Neodiprion lecontei: one gene and its partner. The protein of the gene in region 2 interacts with the protein of the main gene of each other region in a pairwise test. Links are inferred from orthologs where the notes say so. Each region holds a gene or a part of one and is shown on either strand. Other genes may lie near its edges.

Region 1 (5,718 bases), on a different chromosome or scaffold from region 2:
GGCGCCATAAGTGATGAAGTTCTGGGAGGGCCCTGTGATAAGAATTATCCGATTTAGTTCCAAGTAATAAAAGTGTCTCAATTCGTCTCTCAGAGAAATATAAGTGAGGTTATATTTACACTTTGGATCACCGCCTTTTCTCTACTGCTGAAAACCACTTCATTTTTCGTCCTTTTCGAAGCTGGCACCAATGCTAGAATCTCATCACCTTTTCTCTTGTCTAAGATTGGCATTGTTATTGTAAAATTGTCAAATGTCTGTTCACAAACAACAAACCAGCGAGCAGCCGAACTGTGCGTATATCATCCCAAAGTAAAAAGACACTAGCGTTTTGTGATTGCGAATTGGGTGGTACGCTGACATCTGTGCAACAGCCGGTCAGTATGGGTTGTGCTTTACTTACTGATGCGAGGTCTTCCGTTGTTTTTCTATGTGACGCACCGATGATTGGTACACACGATTGTTTTTGTTATGAATCGCTGACATCAGGACGATATTAGTAGTTGAACAAGTAAAAAATAAGGCAAGTATTGATATTGTATAATTTATTAAATACTTAGATTACTTAAATATCTATTTACTTTGCACAGTAGCATTAATTTTCATCTATTTAGATTTTAATGTTTTAAACATTATCATCGCAGTGCCAACATTTACCGTATTAAGAGGACGAAAAGATTGGCAACATCAAGTATGTACATGTTTATTCTGTATCAGTTACCTGAGGATACTAAACTGATTTGATCTATATAAATAATAGGAAATAACATTTTTATCGCGCTATACATACGTTCGTAGATGCGTTCAACAGTTGAACGAGTACATTTAACGACGGCAAATATAACTCAGTTTGTGTATTCTTTTGTACATTTTCAAATCTACGGAATAGTACATACATACGTATGTAACATAGGTATATACTTATCGCGAAGCAAACTTATTTTACACGCAAAGTAATCTACAGTGTTGCAAGCTGGAAAATTATGTTATAAAATTGGTGCTACTTAAGTGATCCGCAAAATCAATTAAATGTTATTATCCACAAAAAATGTACACAGGACAATCCACTTGTCGCATACCCCATGATGGCTCTTAGGGATGATCTAAAGTAGGCTTGTAGAATTGATGAGTGTAATTTCTCAGCACATTGATTCTTTATAGGAGCATCGTCGTTGGATTTTCCATGAAACTTTTGAATGCTGTGAGCCATTGAGCTCCAACCGCTCCATCCACAGTGCGATGATCACAGCTGGCTGTAACGCTCATGAAGTTTGCAGTTTCGAATCTGTGAAATTTGAACAGTAACAATATGATGGAAAAAAGTGCTCGATTAACTGAAAATAAGTCTAATAAGACTAGTTTAGGTACTATTAGGAGATTTCTTAGTTTACCCTTTTTCGTTTTTCGCTGGAATCAATCGAGATTCGGTCGTACCAACAGCCAGAATGATGGACTGTGGTGGATTTATGATTGCGGAGAAGGTTTTAATACCGAACATTCCTAAGTTTGATACAGTAATCGTTCCACCTTGGAATTCGTTAGGCTGTAGCTTCCCATCTCTCGCCTTTGCTGCCAACGCTTTCACTTCTTTGCTGATTTGTACAATACCCTTTGTGTCAGCTGCGAATACAATCGGAGTGATAAGACCATTGTCTGTACTTACAGCGACGCTTACATCCACATTGTGATACCTGAAGAGGAGGAAAAGAAAATGTAATATTAATTTAGTTGAGATGCCTAGGTTAGGAAATTCATTGTTTTGGTATACAATTGGTACGAAACACTACTTATTTCATTCTGCGATCACTCCCGTTCAATTATAAATTACTTTTCATATCATTATGAGAACTCACTGTCTAATGACATCCCCAAGCCAAGCAGTGTTGCCATCAGGAACTTTTTTCGAAGCCATTGCGATGCCTTTGATGATGATGTCATTTACGCTAAGTTTCACTTGCTCTTTTTCTAACATTTTGTTGAATTGTTCCCTCATTTGTAAGGCAGCGTCCATCTTAATGTCAACTGTCAAATAATAGTGTGGAATATTCTGTTTGCTTTCAAGCAATCGTTTTGCTATTACCCCTCGGATATTTGACACTGGAATATCTGTGTATACACCTCCAGCTGCAGGTGCTGAAGTTGGCGCGCCAACAGACGAAGAGGGAGCTGCAGCAGAAGCACCTGCAAGGTCTTTGGAAGTCACTGAAGCGTATAATCCTGAACCCTTGAGACCCTATTTGAGACAGAAAATCCATTACCTTCGAAACTAAAAGTATCCTGAGATTCAGAAGAGCTGTTACTAAACATTTCTTCTTCACTAATATCCTACATATTAGAAAAAAATTCTTTGTTTCTAAGCAACAAAACTATTACTACAGTTTGATAAATCTATTTTTTCACCTCTTCAATTTGTCGATCTCATATCTTGACAAGTCGATCAATAATATTTCACTTACTTGTAAACTGAGCCCCTTTTCACCTGCAAGCCGCCTAGCTAACGGACTTGCAAAGACCCTGTCACCAGACATAGATGTAGGGGTTGCTGTAGCAGCTGGAGCTGGAGTCGGAGTTGGGGCTGGAACAGCCGCTGCTGGGGCAGTTGAAGCCGGAGCTGCTGGAGCCGGAGGCGAGGCTGATGCTGCTGGAGCAGCTGTTGCTCCATCAGCTTTATAGTTTTTGAAAGCCGCAACGCTCGCCTCATCGGAAACAATGATACAAACAAGTTGGCCAATCGGAACATTTTTAGTACCAGCAGGCACGATTATTTTTGCCAGGTAGCCTTCCTCCGGAGTTTCAAATCCCATTGTGGCTTTGTCAGTTTCAATTTCAGCTAGGAGATCACCTTCGTTCAGCTTGTCACCTATGGAAAAAAAATTGTCACATGAAAATGATTAAAGATTGGTGTCAGTATAGATTGAATAGGCTTGCAAAATGTTTTCAACTTTACTAATATTATCTTCTTAATAAAGGATTGGATCTTTCGAAATCTGGGCTCTACTCAAGAATGTTGGCAGATGATTGTAAAAGAATTTTCAGTTGAAATTCGAAGTAACTTTTATATATTAGAATACACATGTTGCGAGTTGATATTTATAAGTAATTTTGCAAAGTTCACCTTCTTTCTTATGCCAACTAACTATAGACCCAGTTTCCATGGTAGGTGAGAGAGCGGGTAGCATAACGGACACGTGATCCGGATAATCTGCGTAGAACCTCAACTGCTGTGTCCATGCTGTCACTGCACGAGGGCTGTGACATAACTGAGGCCTGATCAACAATTGTATCATGTATAAGATTGTTTTTTTTTTCCAGGATTCGAGTTGGCAAAAAGTAATTCTCAACAGTATCTATCCATCGTATCAAATTTACAGTAAAAACTGGAGGTGTCATATGATATTTAATTGAAAAAAGGTACAGAGAAAAGATGAAAAAACCACACACTTCTCTGTAACTACAAAGACACAAAGTGTGATTGAATTTCGTGAACTCAAGTAATAATCGATGGACACCAGGCTTGAAAATATTCTCAACTTGTGGATTTAAAAATTTTTTTTTTTTTAGTTTTATCATTGCACACATGGTAATGTATAATAATTGTGATCACGATGATGATATGAACCATTATCAAAGATGACGAAGTTACAAACCTCAGTGATAATTCGTAAGAACAAAAAAATGTGAACAGGAGTAGAAGAGGAGGAAGCGAGAGTTAAATGATTTGAATAGGAAATAGAAACATACGTAACGTGACGTAACCTCAAAATCACGACGATCAATGTTACGTTACGGTGGTGTTATAACAATTTGTAAAAGGTGTGAGAGAATGAAGATTGATTCATGGGATATACGAAGCTGCGTTGAGATACCTTTGCAGATGTTTTCTGTGAATACATTCGACTGCCAAACATCGTACGACATTCGTCCGTACAACATTTCGAAACGTGACGCGCACCAGATCGGATCGGAGGCTCGTTGTGGTGCGTAACATGTCTACGGTGTTGATAATTTTCAACAGTTCTATTTGTAAAGATTCACCCGCGGGTATGTAATTCGAATTTGAACCCTAATTCTTCTCAACGGCCAAGGGTATCACTTTTTGGTCAATCGGGTCAGTGACGGTCGTAAGATGGCAATGGCAAATTAGAGGTCGTCTGCAAGGTCACGTGGGCACAAGCACAGTTTTCATTGAATATGACGTAACCACATGCCGCGGAATGCGGGGATATGATTGGTTGGCAACAGACTGGTCTTTCAGTCCTAAAAACTCCACTTTGCCTTACGACGTCAACGGCGCTGATGCTGTCCGCCTGACGTAGCCTGACGTTGCAGGGCGGTAGGGTTTAATTAAACTACCCACAGCAACGAACCGAGGATTAAATACGATAATCATCGATACTGGAACCGCATTGCAGAGTTCGGTTGACGTGGAAATTAACATGTCGAGATTGTCGGTTACAAGACCCTCGAGCGACGCTGATGAAGATCCTAACGTAAAGACGGATCAGGGACGGTTTACTTTTTCAAACGGTGACACCTTCTCCGGTGGATACATGATCGTCAAGGATATTCGATCGATTATGAGACAAGGTTTAAAATTTCTAGCCTTGTATGGTGTTAAATTTTTGTCGCGAATACTCGAGGTTTCGTCTTTCTTTTCCTGAGAGATTCAACGTTGGATATAAATATAGCTTTTTACCGAAGTAAAAAATTTTAAAGTCGTGTATCAAGTATGTACGTGGCTTATTTTGATTTTACTTTCATCACGATCATCTTATTCAGGTAAGAAAATATTATACAAAATTTTCCCATTCTCAAAGTCTGTAAAAAAATCTTTAATTTTTTGACAAAATAACCCGGAAGCATATGATATGTCTGTAATTTTGAAGACGGAGAATACGTGAACGCTTTCAAAAAATCTACAGGTCATGGAACTTACGTAACTGGAGATTTCAATAAATATGAAACTTTCTGGGTAGAAGATCAAATCGTCGGAGAAGTGTACATATCGTAAGGAACTGAAAAATTGTTCTACATATCTCGTTGCTGGCGAGATGAGAGTCTGCAATAATATTGCATATGATAAACATAAAAAATTGTATTAATCCAATTGACCTGCTTGTAACAATGACGGGAAGGCAGTCACAACAACGGAACAGAGTACAAAGGAACACTTTGCGCTTCTGGAGAAATGTTTGGTCGCGGAGACTATACTTTCACTGACAATTCTGTGCTTGGAGCGGTTTGGGATAATAATGTGCCTGTAGCTGATATAACATTGAGAGAACCTGCAGGTTATACTTGGAAAGGTGTTTCTGATGGAAAAGTTAGTTGAAATTCCATTCTTACCAATTACACCGGCAGCTAAGAGAGAATGAACTCTTTAGTACCATTTCATGTACAGAAAGTAGTATTCACAGCTGGTAATCATTTTTGGGATGAGATTAATCCTCCAATCGACCTGGTAGAGGACGAAGAGGAGGAAGGTGAAGAGCATTTTGACGTTGCAATTGGTTCCAAGGGCGCTGAATTTTAATACGATTAATTCTTCAGACATGAATGTTGAAACTCGATGGAAGGACAAGTTTCTTTATTCGAAATCTTGATCAGTTATTGGATGACAGCAAAGCAACATCTTCGTGAATTGTATAATATACATCCGTACCAATAATAATCATCGTCATTTGGTACTTTATACAAAATGTTTATTGTTGTTAAATC
Region 2 (4,630 bases):
TATAACATTGAAATGCAAATTTGAAAAGTCCGAATCAGGATATACCGTTCCTCCTTCTGAAAATAAAAGGGAAACAGTTAAGAAATTTCGTCTTGTCTTCGGGCTTTGGTTCCAACGAGCTATATGTATATAGGGTGAAGGACTTAAAATGCTACAGAACAATAGCACTGAAACTATTGATGATATCCAAAAATGTTTCAGATGAACGGAAATTTTTCATCGAGACATAAAGAATACATACGTAATCCGATGTGTAATTAGATATTTATACCAAAAGCCCTAGTATTTTCATAAAAAATCACTCAGTTCATGATTCTTTGGTTCATTGTTTTTTGTTAGATAAATATGTATGGAAATTGCTGTGACATCTTTAGCGGTTTGAAGATGTTACAGAGTGCAAAATTATGAATAAAAAGAAGACGCTTATTCCATTTTTTTTTTTATTACATTTGAATTTCTTATATCGTACGTTCGTTTATGCGGTTGAAATTAAAAAAGAATTAGTGATATTGTCGTTGATTAAGAACTAGACAATAAATCAGTGCAGCGAGTATCTTTTGATCTCCATTATTTCGGATGACTAGTCGACAGGGTTGGGAAACATTTGAAATGGTTCCATCTCAAATGGGCAATTAAAATGCAAAATTGTATCTCGCATCTTCTATTTCAAATAAATTCAAACGGTTATGCTCTATTTTTTATTTTGAACGGAAAAATGTATACATTTAATCATTTGCAAAGCGCCTCTGTTGAAATGGATTTTTATCCTTCTGAAAAATTTCCTAGCCAATCATTTAGAACTATATTCTCTCGGATGGGAATAAATAATGACAGAGTCAGTTATTCGCTAAATTTTCAACTCAAAAAGAGATCGTTTAGCAATGCATCAATTCTTTCGTTCTAATGAAATAGTGATTCGGTAAATACACGCGTAGGTAAATATGTCTGTCAGTAGTCTTTCGTTTCAGACAGATGAGAACGTTTTAAATGATATTCTACAAATAACCAGCGTTTGAATTACAGCGCTCGCAATATTTTTCGAATAACTATTTGACTAGCCACATCTAGCAAAAATCTTCAAAACTGCAGTCATAATAATAATAATAGCGAATGTAAAAAATAAAATGACGAGTACAAGATAGCGTATCTCGATTATTATAAGAAACACAGTTATTTGCAGCATGCATAAAGTCAGTTCGAACACCTATTTTTCATCTTGAATGGGAATAAGCAGAAAATTTTCATTCGTCCATACACACGATATTTCTACAAGCATTTTTCATTTTCCATTTCGAATGTCTTGCTAATCGAACGTTCGACGTAACTAAATTCACATCGATATTTCGTTGAATGAGTTAAACGAAGAGGAAACCAACCAAGCTTTGTACGTTCACGCGACACCCGAAATATCCGAGGAATTCCTAACGACGGGACGTTCGAGTCAATCCGCGGGTGGAAATGGTTTGAAATTTTCGTATCTCACCCCCACCGTCTATCGGCCGCAATCCGGTTGCGCGTTGTAGTTCTGCGCAGGTCACGTGACGGCCTTTGTGCAGCTGGCGCTGCCCTCGGTGGGGAGAAGAACCTAAACGCGAGTTGACAGACAGGCAGTGGCCAGCAAGCCTTGGCTGCGTAAGGACGCCTTTCGTCATTAAAGACATCATTGACCAGTATCAGAAAAGATATACGCATATGTACATATATAAATGTACGTACGTATGTCGATCGGTCGCGTACGCGTGTGAGGACTAGCCGAATAGTGTGGCTGTGTGTGTGCGTGTGTGTGTATGTGTGAGTGGGTGGATTTGTTCTTTTATTTTCATTTCATTTTTTATTCGTTTTAAAATTCTACATTGTTGTTACGGGGAGAGGTTAAATCCGCGTCAAGAGTTGTGTGTCGATAACAAGGATACCGGAGATAAATCACGCAAAACCGTCTCTCCCTTTCTCTCTCTCTCTCTCTCTGAACCTATCGCTCTCTATCTTCCCCGCCCTCAGGGGAAAATAAATAAATTAAAAAAACAAAAAAAAATCGCCAGCCCCCGAGCATCGGGTTTCGTTAATTTCTGGTTCGTTGTTTCGTTCCCCCTTCGCCCTCCCGCCGTCATCATCCTCCTCCCCCTCCTCCTCCTCCCAGCGACCAAAGAGTCACTGCCAGCAGCTGAGCGAGTGCACGTCGCGTTTCTGTATGCCGCGCCGAGTGTCGTGTCGTCTCTGTGTGTCGTCGTTGTGCGATCGCGCGTGCGACGAGGAGAAATATAACCTGATGTGAGTGAAACGTTGGATTTAAAAACCGCCTTTCAGTTTTTCCGGAATACCCCAACCTGTTAGTTATAAGCGGCCACCGGTCGTTTTGTCCTTCGCCCGATCGGAGCCGGAAAAATCGTGAGAATAGCGGAAGGTCGATTCGTCGCTTTCTTTTCTTTTCATTTCATTTGTTTTCTATCGGGTTCGAACCGAGGGTATTATTTATCGTACGTAAAGGCGAAACGGAAATAGTTGCACGCTGCTTCGGGTTTGCGTGCGGAAAACTGAGGTGAAAAAGAAGAGTAATAAGCGAGACAAGGGTAAACAAAGGAATAGGAGGGTCACCGTTGTTCGCAAGAGCTGATTGTAATAACCGTGACACATTGTGACGTGTGACGAGTGGAGAAGGTGAAGCAAAAGTTCGGGATAAAAAAAAAATTCAAACAAGTTTCGTTTTTATTCCACGTGTAACGGTGCCGCCGAAAAAAGAAGAATAAGAAAAAAGAAACAAACGAAACGATACCTCGTCGATGTCGAACAGGAAAATCAGCGGTGGTTAAAAGTTTGTGATCTTTCGCTCTTCGTTTTTTTTTTCCAACGTCAAAGCGACCGTCCCGCGTACAACAGTGCAATAACACAGCCGACAGGGAGATAAAAAAAAAAAAAAAAAAAAATAGGCGGCAATTGGTGATATGAAAAGAGGATTATTTTTCGGTGTGTAAGAAGTGTGGGTTTTAAAAAAAGTGACAGAAGAAACAACGAAAGGATCCGAGAACTAATAATCAGCGTCATATGACAGCGGTGAGAGGAGTTGGGAAAAAATTTTGTTTTAACGTCGATTTTTGATCCGAGATATTTGACGAAACCCGTGCTTGAAAAAAAAAAAAAAGCGTTGCACCAAGGGCTGATTAAGTTGTGTACAATCGAACATTCAAAGAATGCGAAGAAACGACGCGCCATAGAGGGTAAAACGTATAAATAGTGAGGTGGGCGAATAACGAAGCCGAAAGCCGTAGGGACCAGTTCGAAAACAAAACAAAAGAGCGTCGTCGTGCATCTTCTCGGTGCGTTTGGAACAGCACAGCAGCGACGGAAGAGGGTGAAAGTGAAAATCGTCGGTGATACGGGACCGCCGCTTGCCGACGGAGAGACAGACAGACGGGCGGAAACCCAGTAACAGAAGTAGCAAAAGTATACGAACAGGGGAAAAAAAAAATCTGCGACCAATCACCTCGAAGTCAGTCGGCTCTTCGCCTAGGGGGGCCTTAGGTGAATTTTTGATGGCAGTGGTGGGGCCGAGCCGGCACTCGCGGGTGTCCATGAGCGTGTCGATGTCGCTTATGCAGGGGGGTGGGGCCGGGGCTACCGGCGGCGGCGGCGGAGGCGGCGGGACGACCGGGACTCATCCGGGACAGGCGGTCCTAGCAGCGGCGGCGGCCGCCGCCGCCGTCGCCCAGGCCCCCCCGACTTATTACCACCCCGCCGCCCCCGCACCGCCACCACCACCCCCTACCCAGGACCCAGTACAGCCGGACAGACCCATTGGATACGGGGCCTTTGGAGTCGTCTGGTGAGTTGATTATACACGTGAATCTGTTGGTAGTACGATAGATATCGATCGTTTCTTTGTGCGCAATTGTCGTTATCGTATTTGGATGTATTTATTTTGGGACGAGAATTATTCACGTGCCCGTTAAGGGGCCATCCATAAATTACGTCACACGTTAATGCGGGGGGAGGGGGGTGGGGTCAAAAGCTTTGTGACGTCACGTGTTAAAATTTAAAATACTAAAACACGAAATTTATATATAAAGATTATTTAATGAAAATAAGAAAAAAATGAAAATAACTGTTTTCTTTTGATTATTTTTAAATACATGCATAAGTTTGAAAAATTTGTGACGTCACATCAGGGGGGGGAGGGGGTTCTAAAAATGTCACAACTTGTGACAAGGACGGGGGGAGGGGTTTAAAAGTTCTAAAATTCGCGTGGCGTAATTTATGGATGGGCCCTTATTGTGTGAGGGGCCATTTCACCTCGGTTCGATTAGGGTCTTATCAGAAAATCAACCTTGGTTGGATTTGGATAGCGATGTTTTTTAATTTTTCTTCTAAATCGAAAATGTGTTGCATTGTTTCTTTTTTTTTTTATTATTTTTTTTATTTTGGATTTTTCCAACCCTTCCCGGACGTTCCCAGAGACCATTGAATGATGATATTTTGGCAATGAATGCGCGACATTTTTTAAAATTATGAAAATAAAATTATGTAAATTCTGTGATCTAAACCGAAAAATATTCCAATCAAAATTGATGTGGCCAGGGAGAACAGTAATTTTTTCGTTCATCTTTTAAGTATATAATTTTTTTTTTTTGCCCCAGTC

The links. The genes of interacting proteins can lie anywhere in the genome.
Region 1: the proteins of serine/threonine-protein kinase NLK (region 2) and dihydrolipoyllysine-residue acetyltransferase component of pyruvate dehydrogenase complex, mitochondrial interact in a two-hybrid assay, tested with the Caenorhabditis elegans proteins (2 studies listed by BioGRID, with this or other methods). The link is inferred for Neodiprion lecontei from reciprocal best matches to the Caenorhabditis elegans genes lit-1 and dlat-1.

What each region holds. Positions count from the first base shown.
Region 1 is NC_060260.1:29,790,906-29,796,623, reverse strand, and holds dihydrolipoyllysine-residue acetyltransferase component of pyruvate dehydrogenase complex, mitochondrial, read right to left. Parts: upstream 4,168-5,718; 5' UTR 3,989-4,167; coding exon 3,867-3,988; intron 3,268-3,866; coding exon 3,116-3,267; intron 2,861-3,115; coding exon 2,457-2,860; intron 2,234-2,456; coding exon 1,854-2,233; intron 1,692-1,853; coding exon 1,392-1,691; intron 1,286-1,391; coding exon 1,156-1,285; 3' UTR 529-1,155; downstream 1-528. Other genes in the region: U5 small nuclear ribonucleoprotein 40 kDa protein, read right to left, coding at 1-32, 120-233. UniProt on the Caenorhabditis elegans protein: The pyruvate dehydrogenase complex catalyzes the overall conversion of pyruvate to acetyl-CoA and CO(2).
Region 2 is NC_060264.1:9,756,600-9,761,229, forward strand, and holds the start of serine/threonine-protein kinase NLK, read left to right. Parts: upstream 1-1,623; 5' UTR 1,624-3,527; coding exon 3,528-3,817; intron 3,818-4,630. UniProt on the Caenorhabditis elegans protein: Has a role in the Wnt signaling pathway controlling the asymmetry of cell divisions during embryogenesis. Operates in the AB and EMS cell lineages influencing cell specification.